5 linked regions of the Macaca fascicularis genome follow. The protein of the gene in region 5 purifies or fractionates together with the protein of the main gene of each other region. This does not show direct contact. Links are inferred from orthologs where the notes say so. Each region holds a gene or a part of one and is shown on either strand. Other genes may lie near its edges.

The links. The genes of interacting proteins can lie anywhere in the genome.
Region 1: the proteins of WWP2 (region 5) and GPN1 purify together in Homo sapiens (affinity purification with mass spectrometry; 3 studies listed by BioGRID and IntAct, with this or other methods). This does not show direct contact. The link is inferred for Macaca fascicularis from reciprocal best matches to the Homo sapiens genes WWP2 and GPN1.
Region 2: the proteins of WWP2 (region 5) and PTPN14 purify together in Homo sapiens (affinity purification with mass spectrometry; 3 studies listed by BioGRID). This does not show direct contact. The link is inferred for Macaca fascicularis from reciprocal best matches to the Homo sapiens genes WWP2 and PTPN14.
Region 3: the proteins of WWP2 (region 5) and NDFIP2 purify together in Homo sapiens (affinity purification with western blotting; 3 studies listed by BioGRID and IntAct, with this or other methods). This does not show direct contact. The link is inferred for Macaca fascicularis from reciprocal best matches to the Homo sapiens genes WWP2 and NDFIP2.
Region 4: the proteins of WWP2 (region 5) and POLR2D purify together in Homo sapiens (affinity purification with mass spectrometry; 3 studies listed by BioGRID and IntAct, with this or other methods). This does not show direct contact. The link is inferred for Macaca fascicularis from reciprocal best matches to the Homo sapiens genes WWP2 and POLR2D.

The regions. Positions count from the first base shown.
Region 1 is NC_088387.1:94,602,953-94,607,811, reverse strand, and holds the start of GPN1 (GPN-loop GTPase 1), read left to right. Parts: upstream 1-1,664; 5' UTR 1,665-1,673; coding exon 1,674-1,784; intron 1,785-2,486; coding exon 2,487-2,580; intron 2,581-3,645; coding exon 3,646-3,685; intron 3,686-3,782; exon of another isoform or gene 3,783-3,797; coding exon of another isoform or gene 3,798-3,819; intron 3,820-4,389; coding exon of another isoform or gene 4,390-4,408; coding exon 4,409-4,475; intron 4,476-4,859. Other genes in the region: CCDC121 (coiled-coil domain-containing protein 121), read right to left, coding at 1-544, 1,011-1,378. UniProt on the Homo sapiens protein: Small GTPase required for proper nuclear import of RNA polymerase II (RNAPII). May act at an RNAP assembly step prior to nuclear import.
Region 2 is NC_088375.1:72,331,233-72,336,191, forward strand, and holds the start of PTPN14 (tyrosine-protein phosphatase non-receptor type 14), read right to left. Parts: upstream 3,196-4,959; 5' UTR 2,606-3,195; intron 2,503-2,605; exon of another isoform or gene 2,376-2,502; intron 1-2,375. UniProt on the Homo sapiens protein: Protein tyrosine phosphatase which may play a role in the regulation of lymphangiogenesis, cell-cell adhesion, cell-matrix adhesion, cell migration, cell growth and also regulates TGF-beta gene expression, thereby modulating epithelial-mesenchymal transition.
Region 3 is NC_088391.1:70,542,346-70,547,141, reverse strand, and holds the start of NDFIP2 (NEDD4 family-interacting protein 2), read right to left. Parts: upstream 3,196-4,796; 5' UTR 3,115-3,195; coding exon 2,794-3,114; intron 1-2,793. UniProt on the Homo sapiens protein: Activates HECT domain-containing E3 ubiquitin-protein ligases, including ITCH, NEDD4, NEDD4L, SMURF2, WWP1 and WWP2, and consequently modulates the stability of their targets. As a result, may control many cellular processes.
Region 4 is NC_088386.1:3,674,697-3,679,548, forward strand, and holds the start of POLR2D (DNA-directed RNA polymerase II subunit RPB4), read left to right. Parts: upstream 1-1,657; 5' UTR 1,658-1,682; coding exon 1,683-1,755; exon of another isoform or gene 1,756-1,977; intron 1,978-4,852. UniProt on the Homo sapiens protein: Core component of RNA polymerase II (Pol II), a DNA-dependent RNA polymerase which synthesizes mRNA precursors and many functional non-coding RNAs using the four ribonucleoside triphosphates as substrates.
Region 5 is NC_088394.1:66,046,799-66,051,021, reverse strand, and holds part of WWP2 (NEDD4-like E3 ubiquitin-protein ligase WWP2), read right to left. Parts: intron 2,925-4,223; coding exon 2,765-2,924; intron 1,074-2,764; coding exon 940-1,073; intron 615-939; coding exon 474-614; intron 1-473. UniProt on the Homo sapiens protein: E3 ubiquitin-protein ligase which accepts ubiquitin from an E2 ubiquitin-conjugating enzyme in the form of a thioester and then directly transfers the ubiquitin to targeted substrates.

The DNA.
Region 1 (4,859 bases), on a different chromosome or scaffold from region 5:
TACTTCACGTGTCTTTGCAGCTGTCTCAGCTTGGACTTTCTTTTTCTCCTCCTGTAATGTCTGTATTTCTTTCTCCTGCTTTTCCTTTAATATAGCAATGTCCCTCATTGCCTGCAACTTCCGCTTCAAACTGGATTGGATATTTTCCTTTTGCAAGAGCGCTGTTTTAAGCACTGAAATTTGTTCTGCATATCTGGAGGCTGATTCTTGTCTTCTTCGTTCGATCTCTCCACTTTGTTGTAAATAGCTGTTCCATACCTTCTCAGGTTGCTTTGTGTACTCTTCAGTTTTGTTAGTCAGGTATTCCAGAAAGAACCTGTTTTCAGCCTGGACAAGTAACTTTTCTTGGTATAGCTCCCTGTATTCCTCCAGTAGCTGTTCCCGCTGGATTTGAGCTTGTTTTATATGCTTGTTCAGAACCGTCATTTCCGCCACTATCTTTTCTTTAAGGATTGTCTCCACCTTTGTTAGCTTCTCTGGCTTGACAAAATTATTTATTAGCCTATGATACGGTGGAAGGAGCCTTCTGGGGCCCTCAGCAAACCTGAAAGAACAAATGAGACATTCCTCTCTCAGTTGATGAAACTTTAGGAAGTGCAGAACTGTCCTTTATTTATACCAGAGAATATTTCTGAGTACCCAGAATGTTCCAGACATTATGCAAGGTGAGGGGAATCCAGCTAGTGGTAAAAGATGACGGATTTAGCTCATCATTTACAACGTGCGTTCACCACAACCCTGGGAGGTACTATCTCAGTTTTAAAAAGAGAAAACAGGTTCAGAGAGTTTAAGTGAATTGCCCATGACTCACACCACTAGCAAGTGGCAGAGCCTGGGTATGAAAGCCAGATCTTATGACTTACTGAACACTGTTAGCAGCTACAAAGGGCCACAGAAACAGACTGGGTGGTTGCGAGTAGAAATACTTTTCTAAGCTCTTTCATCATCTTTCCTGAGTTTCTGAGAGCCCTTCAGTGAGAAGGAAGCTCCCCTCCAGTACCTATTCGCACCTGGAATCCAAGCATTCATCCTGAAGGTCACGGCAACTGCGTAGTTCACCGAGGGTGATTACCAAGGAATGAGCGCTAGCATCAGGAACCTGCGCCTGCAACTCGCGGGAACAACGTGCAAGTGCGGAAAACTCCCGTAGTTTATCCGTTCGGTGCTCAAAGGGTCTCGGTGCTGCCCAGCAACCCTGGAGGCTGCACCCTGCTCCAGTCCTGGCTGGTCCAGCCCTGAACTGTTTAACCGCCTCGGCTACCGAATAAACCCGAGCAGCCGGTCCTCCAGTGGCTCCGCTCCCCGCTCTCTGCGGGCTCGAAATGAGAGGCATGCGCCTTGTTTTCTTGCTGTGTGAGTCCTGCCCTCGGGACCCCATCTCTTCTCGCCTTCCCCCTGGGGACAAAAGCCCTCCCAGGCTGCAGAGATCAGAGCCCTTTCCTAGCTCCCTTCAGCCTTCCTCTCGCTTGCTCAGCGCCCCCACTTCCTCGCCACTGTCACTAGTTGGCTCACCAGCCCTGCCCGATACTAAGAAGATGCCCTGGCAACTACCGCGCCCCTTCACGCTCCTTTCTGACGCTTTGGTTCTGTTTTCGTTCGCTGCCCAGAACATCGCGGAAGTTTCTCTAGCCATGCGGTGTCTCTATGGTCAGGTGGGCGGGGCCAGGAGGAAGATGGCGGCGCCCGCAGCTGCAGCTGAGCCCCAGGCTTCTGGGGGTCCGCGGCACCCAGTGTGTCTGTTGGTGTTGGGAATGGCGGGATCCGGGAAAACCACCTTTGTACAGGTGACGTACACAGCGTGGGTGTAGTAGGGGAGCGCAAAAGGTTGCCTCCGACAGGCGGAAGGCCAGGGAGAAAGGGAGGGAGGTCTCCGAGGATTTGGAGGGTATCGGCGCATGGGTTTCGGTCGTTTCCCATCAACTTTAGTTCCTTCCCCGGCAAAGCCTCCTCGGGCCCTAGCCAGGTTAATTAAGGCTGTCTTCTGTGCACCTTCAGTGCATACTCGGTCAGCTTACCACGTTGTACAGGAATTGTCTTGCTGATAAAATTGCCAGTTTCTTGAAGGCAGGGGCTTACAAGTAACTTTAGAGATTAATACAGTGCTAGCACACAGGTTTTGGTGAAGATTTGCCGAAGAATTATTTCTTGCACGCCTGTTATGTACCATTCACTGGGGATATAGCGAAAATTAGGTTGACAAGATTCATTCATGGGGCTAAATATTTAATGGAGGAGATAGAGAAAACCCACATACGAAGAATCAAAACAAGTAAACAAGTGACTATGAGTAGGGGAAGTTTTGTTAGATGGGTGATGAAGAAAGGTAGCATTTGAACTGAGAGTTGTATCTTGGTGTTGGATATAGTGGGTGGATATTTCAGGTAAAAGAAAATCTAAGTGCAAAACTCTTAAGGCATGGGTGGTAAAGGAAGTTCTCTCTTGTCCCCTCTTTGTCTCCTTCCAACCTTCTCCCCATATCTCTGCAGAGGCTCACAGGACACCTGCATGCCCAAGGCACTCCACCTTATGTGATCAACCTGGATCCAGCAGTACATGAAGTTCCCTTTCCTGCCAATATTGGTGAGTAAACCGGTAACATAACTTGTGTGAAGTGCTTTAAAGAGAATGGAAAAGGCCGGGCGCAGTGGCTCACCCCTGTAATCCCAGCACTTTGGGAGGTCGAGGCAGGTAGATGAAGAGGTCAGGAGTTCAAGACCAGCCTGGGCAAGATGGTGAAACCCCATCTCTACTAAAAATACAAAAAATTAGCCAGGCGCGGTGGCAGATGCCTGTAATTCCCGCTACTCGGGAGGCTGAGGCAGGAGAATTGCTTGAATCCGGGTGGCAGAGGTTGTAGTGAGCTAAGATAGCACCACTGCACTCCAGCCTAGGCAATAGAGTCAGACTCTCCAGCCTGCCAGTCTTCAGTGCCTTCTTTTTTGATGTTTTCTAAACTATCTACTTTCATTTCCTTTGGATTTGCTTGAGTTCCTAAACAGCTTAGGCTTTTTTTGTTGTTGTTGTTGTTGTTTTTATAGAGTCTCTGTCACCCAGGCCAGAGTGCAGTGGCGTGATTCAGCTCACTGCAGCCTCAACATCCCAGGCTCAAGTGATCCTCCCACCTCAGCCTCCTGCCACCATGCTGGGCTAGTTTTGTTTTGTTTGGAGAGACAAGGCCTCTCTATGTTGCCCAGGCTGGTCTTGAACTCCTGGGCTCAAGTGATCCTCCTGCCTTGGCCTCCCAAAATGCTGGGATTACAGGTGTGAGCCACTGTGCCCAGCCTAATTCCTTTTTAAAAATCATGTCTGCATTGCCTTTGCATTGCGTTTGTTAGTAATAGGCAATTAGTAAGAAGCTTTTTTTTCCCCTTGATTTTTGCCTCCCTTTTTCTAGACGTGTTTAACTTGTGTGAAACTTCTCACTTTGTGGAGACAAAACTCTCTACCATAACTTTAGAGCTCCTAGCCCTAACATTCTTCATGAATTACTTGACATTTATTCTTTGTAAGGAAGGAAACCAGTGTGAAAGTGGAGGTGGTAGAAGAGAATGCTGACAAGAGAAGGCTAGAAGGCCAGTTTCACTTTCCTGCTGGTAGGGAATGTGCATGTATTACATTCCAGTTAATTCTTTTCTTTCTCCTCAGATATTCGTGACACTGTAAAGTATAAAGAAGTCATGAAACAGTATCCTTTTCCATCTACTTTGGTCTTGACTCATTCCTGGCTTCGTTTCTGTGTATTTTGTGGCTTGAAAGAGTGTTTTTGCCTTTTCCCTGTGAAATATACAAGCAAAAGGATGGAAGCTGATTGTGGCAGAGGTAGGTGATCAGAAATATTATTTCAGCTTGAGGTTTTAGTTTTTTTACTGTCTCCCCAGATGGCAGGCTGTTGTAATTAAAGAGCAGAGAGTAGGATAGGATAACTGACAGCTACCTGGGTCCCACAAGGTAGTATTTTGCCTTGGAGGATCATCTGTTGGTCACCACCTCTTTAGACTGGGAAACTCAGAAATGAGTGGGTTTAGTTGGATTAACTCTTAGTAAATTGCTTTGTGAAATGTGTACTCTGCTTAATTTGTTTATGAGGATCAGAGCCGGAGGTGTTATACAGGTGGCCTTCATGGCCAGTGCTAGGGAGCTGTCACTGCCTGATGCACCTGTATTACATTTTGGTCACTTTGCTTTCTTCATTTTGCCTGGCCATTCCTAAAGTCATAAATGAGTGAGCCAGACCTTGATACTGAATGTTTCCCTGTGTGGTTAAGGTTGTGTGGTAGTCACGGATTAGGTTGCCAATATTCATTAATGGAACACTAATTTCATAATGCTGTTTTGTGTGAATGATAGCCTGGGTGTGAACTTTATAATCTAATCTATAAGCGATTTCAGTCCTCAACTTGGTGTCTAGATATGGACTTGGACCCAATGGCGGCATAGTGACCTCACTCAATCTCTTTGCTACCAGATTTGATCAGGTATGTCTGTCTTTAATATATCAATATGGCTGTGTAAAAATCTGTGACTCTTAAATTCCTTAGCTTGATCACATTGATAAAGAAAAGCGGCAAACCTGCACATAAATACAGAAAATAAGTAGACATTTTGTCAGACAGAGAAGTAGACTATGAGAAGGTGATCAGTATTGTCAGACACTTCACATTTAATATTTGTGACAGCTAACAAAAATCTAAAAGACCTGGGTTATTTTCTTGACATGTTCTTTGCTTGTGGTATTACCCTGAAGCTGGGATGGGGATATTTGGGAGTGGGATGGACTAGCAGTCATGGAATGGAAAAATGATGGGGCATTTTACTTGTGATAAATATTTGTCATTCTTTAGCTTTTCTTTGTCACCTAT
Region 2 (4,959 bases), on a different chromosome or scaffold from region 5:
GAAGCTCAAATGCAAGAATTTGACGAAATCCTTGCTCAAAAATGACAAGAATATGAAACCCAGGAGGGCTATAATATGCAATCAAAGGGTTGATGTTTGCTTCCCTGGAGCAAATTTAAACCTCTAATAAGGAAGGAAGGCACTGGAAAATAAAAAGTCCTCATAGTTCTTGACACTTAGCCCATACGTCCAGGGCAAGTAAGAATTATTCTAAAAATTCTGATTTTTCTCTGAATTCCTTATGGTGCTTCCCTATTAAAAGTCTAACTGTTCTTTCTAGTACAGCTACCAGCGTGACACAGTATGCACAAACCTGAATAACTCAAGTGTTAATAATAATTACATGTTGAAGCCAATGATGGAAACTGGGCAAATGCCTGGGATTCGCGGGAAAGGGCTTCTCTTCAACCATGTCTCTCATGCAGGTCCCCACACCTTCAGGAAACCTTCTGTGAAGGGGCTGTTCTTGAGATAAGAAAAGATGCTGGTCGAGGGGCTTGGATAAACACCCAAAGGTGTAGGAAGTCACTGTGTTCTTCCTACTCTGATGTACTGGCCTGAGGTCACCAAAAGCTGGATGTCTGCCACCTCGGCCAGGACTCAGCCACTAGGAACAATACTACAGCACCACTTCAGTCCAGTGAAGAGGCACCCTTGAAAGGCAAACCACGTACAGAACGCTACTGCATTGTAAGAAACTTTTCTAGCCAGGATTTGCTGAATCCTGGGCCATTAGGCTACAAAAATCTGCAAGAAGATAGTGTTTTCTATTTTCATAAAGTTTCAGAGAGAAGAACGACAGTCCTTACAACTGTGCGTGCTAAAGCAATAGTAATGACTTCAAAGTAGAGAAAAGTATAACAAACTTCGTGACATACAGATGAACTAATTTTGCACCACATGGCCACCCATTCAGACTGGGCAAAAAGGGCATCATGCCATTCAGCTCCCGCTCATTAAGGCTGTCATTTCTATGGCACAAGCTTTAACCCCATCACCAAACAATTAGGTAACTTTATAATACAAGGTCCGTAAAGCCTTGTATTACCACACCTATGGCTGTCAAGCAGCCTTTTAAAAAAGGAATCATTGTTTGAATGTGGGGGATAAAAAAGAAGAATAATCAATACCATGTTAACGAAACCGAGCATGGGCCAATTAAAATTTAGATGATCATACAACAGCTGCTTGTGGTAAAACAGCAGCAGGCATGGAAGTGTATCCAAAGAGGGAGGCCTTGGCTCCACTGGAAGCTACTTGTGGTTCCCATCAGTGGCTAACGCACTCCTAGATTAATTTCTTATATTGGGGGTGGAGAGAATGCTATCCCAGCAACACTGCACCAACATGGCCATAAATGCCCCTTGGGCCCCCAGATGGCTAGGGAAACTTTCGGTCCTTCTTGTGTTCACTCTGCACCAGCTGTTTCCTCTGCCTGGAATACACCCTCCAGATGAGCACAATCTCCATTCTCTAAGCGCAGTGCACGCCTCACCAGGACCAAGCTCGCCTCAGACTCTCACAGAACCCATCTTCCACGCATTATCATTCTTCATCTGCCTTCAGGTTTCCTCCACTAGGCTGCAGACTCCTGCCCTGTGATCTCGTTTAGCATCTTTCTATCCCCTGTTCCTAGCAGAGTGGAAGCTGGGTTTGTTGGATGAATGAGTAAACTAATCCATTTCAAGAAGTTAACACATTGGTGGAAACTCTGTAACTGCCCGCGCCTGCAATCTAGAGATTTCTCACCTTCACAAAGAACCTGCGACAGCCAGTCCCCAGACTTAAGCGGAAACCCTACAATCTCTGAAATTGTAGGTGGGGATGAGGGGGCTGGAGGACAGGAACTGAAGGAAGTGAGAGGAAAAGGGAGGTAGGGGCAGCGTTACCTCACTGCTCTCTCCAAACGAAAAGGTGTAAAACCCATTTACAAGTATTCAAACCCGAGATCTGGGGGTCACGTGGGGAAGGAGAGGCTGTTAATACCTAGAACTTGAAAAGTTTGAGGTGGAGACCTGATCTGAAATTGTGTGACCACAGCTTTTTTCTACGAGCCAGCCCGACCACCCAAGTAGGAGCCTCGACGCCCAGGAGTTCGGTGGCACCACTGAGGCCTAGTGAGAGGGCAGGAAAACTCCGCTCGCCTCAAGATCCCTTCCCGGTGGTGGTGGGGGGTAACTCGGGGCGTCGGGCAGCTGCGTCCCCCTACCGCTGCAGCGACCGCGACGTCGTTCGTCTTTCATCCTCTAGCCCCCAAGGTTTAGGTATCTCCAGGTGCCCCTCCGAGGCCCTCTCTCATTCCCAAAACGCAGAAGGGAAGGGAGAGAGAAGACGAGGGTGTGGGTTTAACCACAAACTCCCCAGACGGCGCTCACCTTCCAGCTCGCTCCGGGACAAGCTTTGCGCCTCACCACGGGCAGCTCCCACCGCGATATAACACCCCTGCGGCCCGGCCACCCAGCGCCCCCGCTGCCCTGCCAGGCGTCCCGGGCCGCCAATCGCAAGTTGGCGTTGCCAGCGTCTGCCCAAGTCATCTGCAGGGCGCCCGGAGCGCCGAGGCGGCCTCCAACCTCGGGCCCGACTCCCCGGCTTGGACGGGGCTTACCTGCTTACATGGCCCCCGTGGCGCCCCGGAGTCCCGCGCGGAAAGGCTGTCCTTCGCGGCGGCGAAGCCCCGATTCCCCACGGAATTGATTCCAGTGGCTGGCGGAGGAGGGGCGAAGGGAAGGAGCCGCAGGAGGCGAAAGGGGAGGGAGGTTTCCGCCGCGATCCTGGCGCGAGAGTCGGAGCAGAGGCGCACCGGGGAAGAAAAGGAGAAAAACCTAAGCACTGGCTGTCCCGTTCCAGGAGGCCGGGGAGGATGGCTCAGCTGGGAGGGGAAGGAGCGCCAGTGGCCACTTGTGTCTGTCTAGGGCTCCCCAAGGACCTGAGCCAGCAGAGCAGGCGGCCGAGCCCGGAGGAGCACAGCAACCTGCCCCCGAGTCTGCGTCCCCTGCGCTCACTCCACGGAGAAAAAGTTGGGAAGAACTTTGAGGGGCCGGGAGAGCCAGAGCGGCAGGAAATGCGAGCGGCCGGCAGAGGAGGGAGGAAGGGGCCGTGCGAGTGGGAGGGGACGGAGCAAGCGCCGGCGGCCACGGCTCCCCCACCCCAGAGCCGGGCTCGGCAGCGCTGGGGGCCTGGAGGCGGAGGGAGCGCGGGGCGCGCGGCCGGGGGCGGGGAGGAATGCGGCCCGGGAGGGCGCGCGCCGGGGGCGCCGCGGGCGCGCGCTGAAACGTGGAGCCCCAGCTCCAGAGCTCCCAAGCTGGAGGCGCGCCGTCCTTGGGGACGTCACAGCGCTGGAATCCGAGGAATGCCGGGCTGCAGGAGCTCCTTCTGCAGGCCCGGAGAAGTCGCGCACTTTTAATGGTGTAGTTTTGGAAAATGTTTTAAAAGGTGGGGGCCGAGGACGGAGGACCGGATGAAACTCCCTGGAGTAAGAGACGTTGAAGTGGAGAGAGCGAGGCGACCGCAACCACCCCAACCCTGTGCCGCTCCCGCCGTTGGGAAGAAAGAGGCAAGGAAAGGAAGATCCCACCTAGACTTCCGAGGACCGCAGAGACGGGGTGGCGGCAGGATCTTGCCCACCCCGACCTAGATCAAGGACAGTCCACCTTATATTGGGGAACCCTCCAAGCAGGACGCCTCATGCAGCCACCTCACAGGGGAAAACAGACCAGGAGAAAGTAAGGTGGCCTCACCGAGTAGGCAATCTCAAAGATCTCTCCCTAGAACCTCTGGGTACTGGACCCGGTGTCTTAGCCTTCTCTCCCTGCCCCCTCCTGCCCCCTAGGAATGATAAAAAGCAGCCTCTGTGCTGAGAGTTGGAAAATGTCGTTTTCCCGGTTTGTTCCATGCCACAGAATCGCCCCACCCTGCTTGGGTAGGCACTGGGAGGGAACTTCCTTAGCACTTTCGGAGGTGGAGTTAATGAGACGCAGCTGGTATGATGGAAAAAGCTTGGAGCCAGGAGACTGAACCTGAGTTTTAGGCCCTGCCCGATTGGATAACTGAGGAGTATCCCAGCCCCTGAGATCCTAGGTTTCTGTAGCTGTAAAAATAAAGAATTTGTCTAGATTTCTGTGGTCCTTTGCATTGCTAACATGTCTTGGGATATGTTATCTTGCTAAGATTCCAGTCCTTTGTTGAAAAAGAGCCTTGAAGTCGTTGTCACAGAATGTGCTGTCCCAAATCACTTCAGTGTCTGGCAACTCATGCAAAAATTCCTGGCCTCTTGGGGAAGAGAACTGGAAACCAAAAAGCACGGTGGCTCACACCTGTAATCCCAGCACTTTGGGAAGCCGAGGCGGGCGGATTGGCTGAGCTCAGAAGTTCGACACCAGCTTGAGCAACACGGTGAAACCCCGTCTCTACTAAAATTCAAAAAGTTAGCCGGGCGTGGCGGCGTGCGCCTGTAGTCCCAGCTACTTGGGAGGCTGAGGCAGGAGAATTGCTTGAACCCGGGAGGCGGAGGTTGCAGTGAGCCGAGATCGCGCCACTGCACTCCATCCTGGGCTACAGGGCCAGACTACGTCTCAAAAAAATAAAATGAAATAAAATAAATAAATCCGTAGTGACTCTGATTTTCTTCGAGCATCTGCCAATCTCTAGAACTATAAAGAATTAGAGAAAACGCCGAGTGCAATGCAAAAGTGATGGAAAGAAAAGGTTGAAGGGAAATCAACTTTCTCACATTTTAAAGGAAATAGCTGTACAGACGCGCTAGGTTTCCAAAGAAAACATTAGGCAGTGCCTGACTGTGTTCCAGAAAGTGTGGAAAGCACTCCCCCATTCCTAGATGAGGAAAGTGAGGCATGAAGAAATTACCTGTCTCACTGAGGGTCATACAACTAGGAAGATATGATCAGGTCCCTAGTCTGTCAGGCCTAAAGTGCATGCTCTTAATCTCTTTGAAATTGGACC
Region 3 (4,796 bases), on a different chromosome or scaffold from region 5:
TCTTAGAAGTCAGCTTGGTAGAAGTACATAATCCTTCAAAATAGAGAACTTTGGACGGGCTCTGTGGCTCACACCTGCAACCCCAGCACTTTGAGAGGCCAAGGCGGGCAGATTATTTGAGGTCAGGAGTTTGAGACAAGCCTGGCCAACATGGTGAAACCCTATCTCTACTAAAATACAAAAATTAGCCAGGCATGGTGGAGCACACTTGCAGTCCCAGCGACTCAGGAGGCTGAGGTAGGAGAATCACTTGAACCTGGGAGGCAGACGTTGCAGCAAGCCGAGATCACGCCACTGCACTCCAGCCTGAGTGACAGAGACTCCATCTCAAAAAATAAATAAATAATAAAATAAGAACATCAAAGTTAGAATGTGGTCTAGCAGCTGCAAGCCAAGTCAACTTTATCATAGTTAGCAACACTGCTCATTTACTAACGAACAAAACTGAATTTCCCAGAAAATTATGTACCATACCTGGCTTTTTCTGAAATTAGAAGGGTAACAATCAAGAATTTTTGTAGCTCTAAACTGTTAACTGCTTTACTTAATAAATTTTGGGTGCTTTTAACAATGAAAGGAAAGATCACAGAAAAAGCAGTTTCTAGATAAAGCTTGTGCACTGGCTAATGGTAGTAGGTCGTTCTGATGACCCTGAGCATCACTACTAGCTTTCCAGTATGAAAAGTTGTATTTAAATTCTTTAAATAAGTGAAAAATTAACATTGTATACCATCTCACCCCTAAGTATACTTGCCTATCTCCTGACTTAGTCATCCCTTAACATTCGACAACTCAAGCTGTTTATTGCTCCAGTTTATTACACATTCCAGTTTTCCCAAAAACTGAGCTAAAGGCAACCACAAAATAGTTATGTTCATCATATAAGCCAGAGCTGAATACTGATCTCTAGTTTAAAAAGTCTACGGAAAATGTCAATTCAGCTTTTTCTCTGACATACACTTAGATGTTATTAATCAGGCCATTATAAACAAAACCAAGAGTTATACTGGATAGGTTAAATGACTATGTAAGTTGTGTAACCCTAACACTGTTGCCTTACAAGGAAAACAAATCGATGTCCTACTTACTTAAAGTATTATCTTTAGAGGGACTGGTAGGCATTATCTTTAGAAGAACTGATTTTTGCCCTCTGCTCTCAAGGAACTTCAAAGTCTATGTGGGACACATCATCAGTTTGAAAAAAATGAGGGGAGGGGGCAGCAATAAAATATGTCCATTTATTTTGAAAGGAGCTGTAGGGAAAACAAATATCTTAAAACTGAGAGCTACATAAATTAACAGTGTTTTAAGTAGTGACGTGTGTAGGAGAACATGGTTAATGTTTCTAATCTAACAGGAAGATTAGAAAAATGAAACAAGTTCCACTGCTGATATTATTCAGTATTTGTATCATTTTATTTTTGCTAACATTTACAAACCTAGAAATGCCCTTCAAACCATCAAAAGGGTGTACACTTGAAAAATGCTTTCCATACTAGGAGAAACAGTATTTCCCAAGTTGTTGAGAAAAGCTGCTACATTTTCAAAGAATTCGGAACACGGACCTTTTGTAGGTTTTAAAGAATGCAAACCAGTTGAAAATAGAAGCCTCGTGAGCTTTTATCTTAGAAAAATGCAAAATTACATACATTGGGATCTCATCTTACAGTGTCCTTCATATTGCCAAAATGTACTTATTAATAGAAAGTCTTGGCTTATAACTAAGTCTGACATGTGCAGATAGATTTGAAAGTTGAAACCTGGGGTTAACATACCTAAATTTGTAAAATTTTATAAACCATAAATTGCACCACCACTGCTATGTATTATTTATCTCGTCTCCCTCAGTAAATGGGCTGAAAGTTTGTAGAATGACATGCTACCTAGCTGCAACAGCACAACAGCACAGTCAACTATTGCTCAGTCCATTTTTAACTAAGGTTTACAACAGGAATCTTCAACGTCACCACCAGAATACACAAAGAAAAATATATTTAAAAATTGACACTGAAAATACAGAGGAACATATTTCACTTTTTTCAACATACAGTTACCAAAGTTTACACAGTTAAGCTGGAAAACCTTGTATTTAACGAAAAATAATTTTTCGAACAAGATTAGAATTTGTTCTACTAAAACTACCTCTGTTTCCCCTCTAGCCAAACAAACAAAAAAAAAAAACAAAAAACTGGGGATTACAAAAAATACAGTCATTTTTAATACTAACATAATGGAAAAGGACAAAAATGACAAGGTTAACGAGCAGACAAGATCAGCACTATGGCTAGTCTTTCTCTTCGGTTCCACAATTCCTAACCCACATTTTTGCCAAATCCCACTCTACACAGTACTTACACCTTCACCCACCTACCCACCCACCCACCCCATTTATGACGGCGATCACCTTCCGGGCAGGTATGTGAAGTCAGCCCCACTTCCAGTAGACAATCGACTAGAATGTCTCAGAAGTGACTGAGTCAGAGAATAAGAAAATGATAAAGTGAGAAATTAAAACAGATACAAGTTGTAAGGTGTGCGGAGGGAGGTGTCTCAAAGGGGGCTAAGGGTACGGGTGAGGAGCTAGGAGGAGACTTGGGGCGACAGGGAAGGGTTTCGAAGCAGTCCTAGGCAGGAGTGCGCAGGAGAGGCGAGTGAAGCAGCTCCAGTCAGAAGATCCAAAAGAAAACAAAACAAAAGCCACAGCGTTTCCTCTGGGAATAACCTGAGGAAAGGGACTCTCGGGACGCCCCGGCGGGAGGCAGTCCCGGGAAGCACAGGAGGCCGGGAACTCACCACCTGGTAGCGCCCCGTCCCCGGCTGGTGGTGATCCATCCTGCCCGGCTCGGGATCCGGCTTCCGAGCGGGGGAGTTCTCTCCGTGCTCAGCTCCCTCGGCCACCCCCGTCGACGACGTCGTCGCCGCAGGGCCCCTTCCGCCTCCGTTCCTGCCGCCGCGGTCTCCCGGCGGAAGCTCTTCACTTCCTGTGCCTCCCGCAGCGGCCGCCGAGACCTCCGCGTTGGTCGCGGTTCCGCGGAGGAGCACCGGGGCGCCGCGCGCACTATTGAGCATGCTCGGGCCGCTCGCGCAGACTCGCTGGCTCCGCCGGCGTCCCATCCGCGCCGCCAGTGGGAGGGTGTAGCTAGGTGGGAGGAGATGGAAAAGTAAGGCAAGTCCGGGGGAGCTGTCTAGGTTGTCAACCTGTCGAGTGGGCGGTCGCAGAAGGCGCGCGGGGGGCGGGAATGACCCGTCCTTGATTGGTCTTTTCTATGTGCGCGAGTCTCGCGCAGGCACGAGCCAGTGCGCCTTCTCACCACACAGAGACAGAGGCTGACAAAGGTATGGGGCCGCGTTCCTGGAACACCTGAGGACAGGTCTCCCGGGTACCCGACACTTCCTCGTATTACTCACCCAGCGTAGGACGTGGGGAGGAGATTCATCTCTAGAACATTGCTAAAACGCTTATTCAAAAATCATTCGTAAGATAAGGGATTTTTAAAAGACTAATATAGAGTAGTTGTAGTTTACAGCAAAATTGAGAAGTTACAGAGATATCCCGTATACACTTTGCTCCTACGCATGCATAACCCCACCCCCAACCCCGCCATTATCAACATCCCCCACTAGAGTGGTACATGTGTTACAATTGATGAACCCGAATTGACACATCATCATCACTGAAAGTCTATAGTTACCTTGGGGTTCGCTCAGGTTGTTGTATACTCCTCGAGTTACGACAAATGTGTAATGGCAGGTATTCATCATTGTAGTATCCTACAGAGTTATCCACTGCCCTGAAATTCTTCTGTGGGATGATTAGAGACGGGGTCTCACTATATTGCCCAGACGAGTGCAGTGGCTGTTCTCAGGCACAATCATGGCTCACTGCAGCCTCGAACTCCTCAGCCCAAGCTATCCACCTGCCTCAGCCTCTGGAGTAGCTGAGACTACAGGCACCAGCTCTTTGGTTACTTTTTAAATTTTTTTCCACTTTTTGGTAATAAGAGATTTAAAAATCCAACAGACTCTCCAGACAGCTCTCAAAGGAAGAGGTCTCTAGAGTTCTAGGTTACTGGAAGGACGTTAGAAGAAAGTAATGAAATCAGATAGGATTATTTTGTGGTAATAATAATTCCAATGGATTTAACAGCAAGGAATCACTTGGGAGCATTGTTAATAGCATCTCAGTGTCTGTAACCACACATGACACGGCATAAAACATATTTCTCTAGCAAGTAGAAGAGTATGACAGAGCAGTGAAAAGTGCCTTTTAACCTGAAGACCAACGTTCTATACCCTCAAAACTATGGTGCTGCTTGATGTGGCCCAGCTATGTTTTTAAGATAACACCACATTTTCCCAAAATGATCTTACAGTGGAGCCCCCTGAAGGGAAGGAAAGGGATCTGGAGCCCCATTTACTTTATTTCCTTCATGAATGTCCAGAGGACATCCTTGAAATGAAGACTGCCACTGGGTGAGCCTAATCAACTGGTTAAAATAGCAAGATACAAAAAAACCCAAAAACTCTTTGCGAGATTGACAACTGAAAAGGTAAGCCTTCCTCGTGGTTCTTTTTAAAGCATTCATCAACTCTTCCTATTTGTGCCATTTTGACATGTCTAATAGTAGAAAGCGTTACTGTGCTAACAATAAGAGGCAATGATATCTCATACTTAAATATTGTTAAACTTGCCTTGTTTTGATCTTAATGTATTTTAGTTTCTAAGCCAATAAACATATGCCATTTTATTGGTATAACTGGTATAAACGCTCACTCTCACAATTTCACTCCAAATG
Region 4 (4,852 bases), on a different chromosome or scaffold from region 5:
CACAGCAAGACGCCGTGGAGGAGCCCTCGCAGGAGGTCAGGCTGCACAGGCCAGACAGGATTCCCAGGACAGCCTTCTAAAGGATTTCTTTTTTTTTAGTTTTAAAATTTTACTTTTTAATTTTTTAAAGCTTTTTTTTTTTTTTTTTTTTTTTTTTGAGACAGAGTCTCACTCTGTCGCCCAGGCTGGAATGCAGTGGCGCAATCTCGGTTCACTAAAACCTCCGCCTCAGCCTCCCGAGTAGCTGGGATTACAGGCGCCCGCCACCACGCCCCAGATTTTTTTTTTTTTTTTTGGTAGAGAGAGATTTCACCATGTTGGCCAGGCTGGTTTCAAACTCCTGACCTAAGGTGATCCGCCCGCCTCAGCTTCCCAAAGTACTGGGATTACAGGCGTGAGCCACCGCGCCTGGACTTTGCCTGTTTTTTTTTGGCCGGTCTCTCTCTCTTGCCCAGGCTGGAGTGCAGTGAGGCGATCATAGTTCACTGCATCCCTCAAGCGATACACCCGCCTAGGTCTCTCCAGTAGCTGGGACTACAGGCGCGCACCACAACGCCAGGCTAATTTTTGTATTTTTTAGAGAGGAGGTCTCACTATGTTGTCCAGGCTGGTCTTGAACTCTGGAGCTCAAGCGATCCTCCAGCCTCGGCCTCCCAAAGTGCTGGGATTTCAGGCGTGAACCACTGTGCCCGGCCCAATTCATTTGTTGTTAAATCAACAGAGTTTACAATATGACCTTCTAAACATTGTTGACTAATGAGCTAAGATATCGTTGACTAATAAGCTACGATTATTTCCTTTATTGTACAACCTTTCGTTTTCTCCAGTGTAGAAAACAGCATCATTTTTCATTTGCATTTCTTTTTTCTTTTTTAATATATATATATATATATATATATATATATTTTTTTTTTTTTTTTTTGAGACGGAGTCTCGCTCTGTCGCCCAGGTTGGAGTGCAGTGGCGCGATCTCAGCTCCCTGCAACCTCCGCCTCCCGGGTTCAAGCGAATCTTCTGCCTCATCCTTCCGAGTAGCTGGGATCACAAGCGCCCACCACCATGCCCGGCTAATTTTTGTATTTTTAGTAGAGATAGGGTTTCACCATTTTGGTCAGACTGGTTTCGAACTCCTGACCTCAGGTGATCCCGTCGCCTTGGCCTCCCAAAGTGCTGGGATTACAGGCGTGAGTCACTGTGCCCGGCCGTCATTTGCTTAATTTTCTATGCATCACCCAAATGTTCCAACAGACGTGTGGTAAAAGCCTCTGAATATCATTGTCCGCGTGCTCAGAAGTATTAGATAATCCATCACAAATGAATAAAATTTTAGAAGTGTAAGTCAGTGAAAGAAATTCGACCCGGCACGTTCGGAGTCGGCTGCCCTGCTCTCCATCAGCAGGCGTTCCTGCAGCTCATCTGACCCTCTCCGCCCAGAAAGGCCTAGGGACCTACCCCAGGACGTCTGCGCGGCGAGGCGCGAGGGAGGAGAGGGAGTGCAGGGCGGCCCTGGGCGGCGGGGAGCCTCCGGGACAACACCAGCAGGTCCCCTCGCTGCGCCCCGCCAGCCTCACACTCCCGGCCCCGCCCACCCCTCGGGGCCCCTCCCAAGACCACGCCCCTTCCGTGGCCGTTGCTCCGCGCTTCCGCTTCCGGCGGCGCTGGTGGTGGCGCGCGACTCAGCGATGGCAGCAGGTGGCGGCGATCCGCGGGCTGGCGACGTAGAGGAGGACGCCTCACAGCTCATCTTTCCTAAAGGTTGGGCTCGGGGCCGCCAGACTGCCCCGCGGCACTTCGCGTGGTCGCCGCAGGCCTGGCGTTATCCGCGCTTCGCCCAAGGCCTGGCCTCGGCGGCGGCTTGGGCAGACCCCCGCGCGGCGTAGGGCTGGGGAGGGAACGTGGACCTGGGAGTGGCCGCCTGGGCAACTGGGTTATTTTATGTGATAACAAACTGCGAAGTTCCGGGCGCTGGTGTCAAAGGTAAACAAAGCCGGAAACCCAGGTGGTGAGGACAGATTTTTAAACAGGGATAGAACGTTGCACTAGGGAGAAGAGTCCAGCGTGAACCGAACTCAACTTCGATTAGTACCGAACCTCTGGGCGTTTTAAAGGAGAGTTAGGGAATAAGGATGTGGTGAGCGGGGGCTCAGGGGAGTCGGGGAAGTGAGAAATGTAAAAAAGAGGGAAGAGGAGGGTCCGTGTGAACCCACCTTGGTTTGTTGACTGCAGCATCTATCGAAGTTAGGCCCCTACCCTCCCACCGAGGCGGAGAGACAGAGGCCTGTTTTCAGCCGTTGGCTGGAACAAACAAATTATTTTGTTTTTTTTTTTTTTTTGAGACGGAGTCTCGCTCTGTCTCCCAGGCTGGAGTGCAGTGGCGCGATCTCGGCTCACTGCAAGCTCCGCCTCCCGGGTTCACGCCATTCTCCTGCCTCAGCCTCCCGAGTAGCTGGGACTACAGGCGCCCACAACCGCGCCCGGCTAATTTTTTGTATTTTTAGTAGAGACGGGGTTTCACCGTGGTCTCGATCTCCTGACCTTGTGATCCGCCCGCCTCGGCCTCCCAAAGTGCTGGGATTACAGGCGTGAGCCACCACGCCCGGCCCAAACAAATTATTTTGGCAGCCTCGAGTTTTCTCAGGCACGCAGTGGTTGGGGAGGGTATTCCTAGGGATAAGGACCTCAAGACCTCAAGTGATCCATCCACCTTGGCCTCACAGAGCTGGCATTACAGGCGTGAGCCACCTCGCCCTGCATTTTTTTTTTTTTTTTTTTGAGGCAAGATCTCATTCTGCTACCCAGGTTGGAGTGCAGTGGTGTGATCACAGCTCACTGCAGCCTCAACCTTCCCAGGCTCAGGTAATCCTCCCACCTCACTTCAGCCCCTGGAGTACCTGGAACTACAAGTGCACACCACCACACCTGGCTAGTTTTTGTATTTTTTTTGTGGAGACAAGATTTCACCATGTGGCCCAGGCTGGTCTTGAATTCCTGGGCTCAAGTGGTCTACCTGCCTTAGCTGCCTAAAGTGTTAGAAAGTACAGGTGTGAGCCACTGCACCGGGCCTATTAATGGTCGTGATGACGGAACCTTACTAAAATTTCCAGATGACATACTGGCCAAGGAATTGTTTTCCTTTTTTAGCAACAGGGATTAATTATGGCCATTGTTCTTAAAATATTTGCACAAGAGAGAATAACATGCAGATCCCCTGATCTGTTTCCTTTTGTTTCCAAATAAATTGTGTGTGTGTGTGTGTGTGTGTGTGTGTGTGTGTATGCTTTCACTTGAAAATGTTTATTGGAATTAGCCATGGGGAGAAGTCTTGGATTCCTCCTCTCCGTAGTTATACAAAAGTGTCTGAACTGCCTCCCCCATCCCCATTTTGTTGATGCCGAATCCTGGGAATGCCTCCCAAAAGCTCTGTGGTAGGTCTCAGACACCCCTTTCCTAGGCCCTCTGAGTTACAGTTTGGCTGCCTTGACCTTCCTTGGTTGAAGGGAGTGAGGGTAATGTATTAGTAGTACTTGAATATTGTTCTTAATGAGAAATAGGGACAGCTGACTAGTTTCCTGGTGGCCTAAAAGTTCCATTCCTTTCCATTTAACAAGTAATTTTGGTTTAGTGCAGAAAGGGAGGCATCTGTTTTGTTTTGTTTTGTTTTTTTGAGACAGAGTGTTTCACCCTTGTTGCCTAGGCTGGAGTGCAGTGGCACAATCTCGGCTCACCGCAACCTCCACCTCCTGGGTTCAAGCGATTCTCCTGCCTCAGCCTGAGTAGCTGGGATTACAGGCATGTGCCACCATGCCCGACTAATTTTTGTATTAGTAGAGATGGGGTTTCACCATGTTAGGCTGGTCTCGAACTCCTGACTTTAGGTGATTCACCTGACTTGGCCTCCCAAAGTGCTGGGATTACAGGCATGAGCCACGGCGCCCAGCCTGGGATGCATCTCTTAACATTGATTTTTCCAGGACCTGTAAAAGCATCAAAGTTCCAACACACCGATTTGTAACTGATTAGCTACTTCTTCCCTTTTTTGTTTTGGCCTGATGTCATTTGTTACTGTCGCTTCAGAGTTTGGAGGTCCTGCAGTCCTGATATATAATGCCTTTTCCTCTACTCATTGCTGTGAGGCAGTAGTTTCTTCTGTACCTACAGTGCCTCAGTGTTAAAGATTAAAAGTAGTAAAGTTCCTGGTATACAAATAGGCACTCACTGTAGTACATCCCCTGTTATAGGCTGGAAGACAGAAAAAGGTGTTCTGAGGTTTTTGTTTAAACTCTCCTGCCCTCAGGTAGAAAATAGCTTTTGGTTACCTATTTTTTTATTTAGATTTTAATTTTATTTCAATAGTGCTCCAGCTGTATTGGTAGCCTATTATATTCAGTAGCAATGAGTACCTTTCAAATAAAAATAGACTTTCCTCCTGACCTACCACTTAAACTGTCTGTGTCGTGAAAGGAGAATGAGGCTCTTGTCAGTTACCCGGCTTGAGAATTGGGAAGGCGTTACTCTGAGGGAGGTGTTAGTGATTTCCCCGATAATAAACAGACCTATAGCACGTGTAAATGTGAAATTGCAAGTCATTCTGGCTTTTCCTCACTGTTGCTTCCTTTTCAGTGAGGGATTATAAACATGAATTCATGTTTATGAATGGTTCCTGCTCTAGGGGAATTCACTGTTAAGAGAAGGGCAGATAAAAACGATCTCTAATACTTTGAGATAAACATCAGGAACATAAGATCCTGCAGGAACATAAGGGAGAGAGTGATTTTCCCAAGGGGTAACAGCATTTTTTAACAGAACTATTCTAGAAGTGTAGAAGGTAGCCATATATTATGAAAAGGGGCCA
Region 5 (4,223 bases):
TTGAAGTCATCCTCACCACCGCCACCTCCTGCTCCTGCCCACAACGCCAACTGAACCTCAGACGTATGAAAGCGTGGAGATAAAAAGACTAAACCAAGAGGCCTGAGGAACAGGCATGGAGAACGGGCACACGTGAGACGGTGGGTCTAGGCACGCAGGCCACAGAGATCCTCTCGGCCTGGAGAAAGATGCAGACGTCTAAGCTTGACGCGACTTCAAAGAAATTCCACCCTGGAGGCTTGAAGTCTCCCACGTGGGGAAAAAGTGCAGCCGGGAGTCAGTAACTAAGGACCTCGGCTCTGGTCCCCCAGCTCGCGCCATCACATGACGGCCCATCAGCAGCCACCTTCGAGGCAGATGGAGATGGCATCCACAGTGACCGATGGGCCACAAGGTGGGGGCCCATCTTGCTCTGCAACCAACTAGATCTCCGCACCGCCCCTGGAGCGGAGGCCCCGGCGCCTGAGACTCACATGATGTACTCTTCCTTGTTCTCCTCCGTGACCCGGATGCTCTCGCCACCCTCCTTCAGTTCGTGGGTGGTCACCTTGCCCAGGATCTCCATGTCCTGGATGAAGTACAGCTCCAGGCCACATTCTTCCAGGTTGTTCTCTCTGGGGGCACAGCAGACCAAGTCGGGAGATGTCTATCGTGGCAGGGTCTTTCCTGGATCCTGCTCTGCTGCCCATGGGACACCAAGGGTTCACGGGTGGCCTAGAATCCTGAACAGTGACATGGGACAGCTTCCTGACTCAAGGAGGGGATTCTAGAACTGTCCACGGGGGACCCAGAGGACATTCCTCTCCACTAGCTCTTTTAAAGGCTGGACAAGAGCTCAGGGGCCACACTGGCAGACAAAATAAAAGCCGTCGGTACCTGCTCCCTGCCCAGAGACGTCCCTCCTATCAGTGCGGTGGGGTGAGGGGGGAGGGAGCTCACTTGATCCAGACAATGGAGTTGTAGAACTCAGGGTCGACGGACTCCAGGTCTTTCAGGGTTGGTCTCTTGTTGAGCATCCGCTTATAGAAAGGGAGGGTGAAGCCCGTGTCGATGAACTTTCCGTGGTACAGCGCCTGGGAAGGAAGAGGCACAGCACAGAGCTTGGGCCTTCCCCAGGCACTGCCAAGACTGGCTCTCGGATACTCGGTATCAAACTCCGCTACCACCACCCGCCTTCCCTGACAGAACCGCAGCAGCGGCTGCCTCGGACGCAGCGGGAGGGCCTCGGGAGCAAACAACGCCTTTGTCCTGACTTGCACCTACAGAGGGACTCCCACCCTGCCCTGCAGACCGCAGGGACTGGGCAGAGACAGCTGGCGCGGGAACCCACGTCCGGGCCCGCATCTGCCCCTCACACTGGCCGGCTGGCTCCCAGCCTAGCAAAGGTCTGTCCCACGCTCACAGAAAAGGCTTGCTCAGAGCAGCTCCAGGTGGCAGCCCTGACTCACTGGCGCTCAGGGTGGGTGGCAAAGGCAGCCAAAAATAATGCAGACACCGCTGACAGCGAGAGCTGGCGGCCAATGGTGAGTAATAGTCTAGGGTTTTACCGGTCTGTCCTGTTGGCTGCTGGGCCAGGCGGGTCTCTAGACCTGGGAAGAATGTGCCCACTTCCAGAGCCCAGCACCTTGGCCAAGAGCTCCCCGACGATGGGAAGGGCCATATTTAGTCACAGGCTCCTGGGACACTTGGGTCCTCCTAAGAGGGGAGCTCAGGAAGGCAGGGGAAGAAGCGAAGGAAAGTGAGAACTGAAACTTCTCAAGCTATGAATGTGGCTCCCGTGCTGGTCCCCGCTTCTCAATCGGGTTCTCCACACTCCCAAGACCCTCAACAGGGGGCACGTGGCAGGACCTCCCTTTCCCTATTCACACCGTGTCCTTCTTTCCAGTTAAATACAGATGCTGGGAAAGCCCCTCCCCAGAACTGGCCCACTTTCTGACATACGTCCCTACACCCTGCACCAGCCAGTTTACGGTTCACCAGGAGGCAGCGTGGCGTGAACAGCAGCCCCCGTGGACTGGCGCGCCCTCTCTGGGCCCCACCCTTCGCCCCCGTAGAGCTCGTAACCTAAAAATGCAAAAAGCTGGAGAGAGTTCTGGAGAAGCCAGAGCTTTCTCAGCGGCTGTCCTGTAGGTAGTGAAGAGTTTCCACGCTGCTTGTATAGGACTTGTCGAGAGGAAGCCCAGGGTCTCTGGGCCACAGACTTTAGGGTTTTGTTCTAAGCTAGTGTTGACTCCAAATGTCCTTCCAGAAGGCTTAGTGTCTCAGTGGGACGTTCCCAAATGCCGTGACAGTGTCACCTCCCAGAGACAGGCAGCAGGTGGGCAGCTATGTTTTCACCTGGCCCTGTCATCCCAAGGCCCTCAACAGAGCGCATATTTAATGTTCAGTAAAGTCTGTGGCCCAGAGACCCTGGGCTTCCTCTCGACAAGTCCTATACAAGCAGCGTGGAAACTCTTCACTACCTGCGGGACAGCCACTGAGAAAGCTCTGGTTTCTCCAGAACTCTCTCCAGCTTTTTACATTTTTAGGTTACGAGCTCTATGGGGGCGAAGGGTGGGGCCCAGAGAGGGCGCGCCAGTCCACGGGGGCTGCTGTTCACGCCACGCTGCCTCCTGGTGAACAGGCCCAGGGCCTCCTCCAATGCTGCCCCTTCCTGGAGGTCTCAGAGAAAGAGCAGATTCCCCTGGTGCCCCTGGCACACTTCACCAGGAGAGGGAAGAGGAGGGAGAGGAGGGAACCAGGCAGACCCCTGGGGCCCCCTTACCATGGCGATGAATCTGCCTATAAAGCGGAAGTAGGTGAGGTGGTCTGGGTTGATGGAGGAGGCAGGGTTGATCTGCAGGCAGTAATTGTTCTTTCCCGCGTATTCAAATAAACAATACATAGGGTTGAGCACCTCGTGAGACAGGAGGAAAAACCACTCTCTGTGAGGGAAGAGAAAGAAAAGACAAGAATAATGGGTTCCTTGGTGCACATCTGCACAGGAGCTGTGACTCTCCACCGTTGTGTTTCAGGTAGTCTGGGGACACGTGTCCCAGGGAGTCAAGCCCCGTGACAAGCACCCGCGCTAACCTATATGAACAGCTGGTCAGTGAACAGGGTGGGCTCTGTTCTACACAGAATGGCAACTGCATTTGAGGATGATGTTTGGGGAAACGTGTCCCCGTCGGCTCCCAGATGATGTGTTCCGAGACTTTACATCACAATATCCAGAGCTTCTAATGGTAAAGGGGGTCCTTGTCACCATGCTCAGTTGCATAGGCTGTGCACTACACAAGGGCACGATGCGTGTTTATGACAATAATTTTTCTGCAAAGGTTCTGTTTGAATAGCAACTACCCTGTTTCCGCTCTACCTGGTGGGCAACATAATGTAAATACAGAGCACCACATTCCCAACCCCAATCCATGAAAACGTAATCCATGCTGCCTTCAGATTAGAAACCTCACACCCACCAGCTACGCCACACCCTTGCGCTTTGCCCTCCCTTCACCCCAGACCCCAACACCATCCCCATTCCCACACTTCCAAGCATTCATCTGAATCAACACCCGTGCCCTGGGTGCGAGCCTCAGGCATGAATTCAGAGTCCTTTTGGGCTTGAGCTAAACCAGCAAGGGGACGTCCCAAGGAGGCCAGTCCCCGGCTGCTGGGCTGTTTGTGGCTGGGCAGACGAGGAGTCCTTCGACGCAGAGGGTGCCCCGGTATCCTGTCCGTGGTTCTACCCTGTGGTAGAACAGCATGACGTAACCTACCATAGGGTAAAACCACTGGCAGGACACAGAGAGAGACACACACAGGGCGCGGCCACACCAGGGAAGCCCACCAAGCAGAGCCTGGAGAGGAGGTCACCACGGAAAAAAGGAACAGTCCATCCACAGGGCCAGCGCAGAAGGCCACGCCACCACCAAACAGAGGACCAGAAGCAAGTTAACCCAACACCAAGCGAGAAGACATGCCCACACCGGGAGAGGTCTCGAGCAGAGAGGTCGCCGCAGGCCAAGGCGCTCCCTCTCTCTGCCGGGGCCCTTCTGCCCTGCCGTCCGAGGCAGCATTTCCCAGAGGGCCTGTTAACTTTTATGGGTGGACCAGGGTGAAGGCAAGACAATGCTTTGGACTCTTTTTAGGGTGACATAAGCCGTTACAGTGTTACTGACCCCAGACACGTGACATGCAGCTGAGCCCTGCTCAAGGCCCTGTGGATCGTGACATAGCTTATCCAC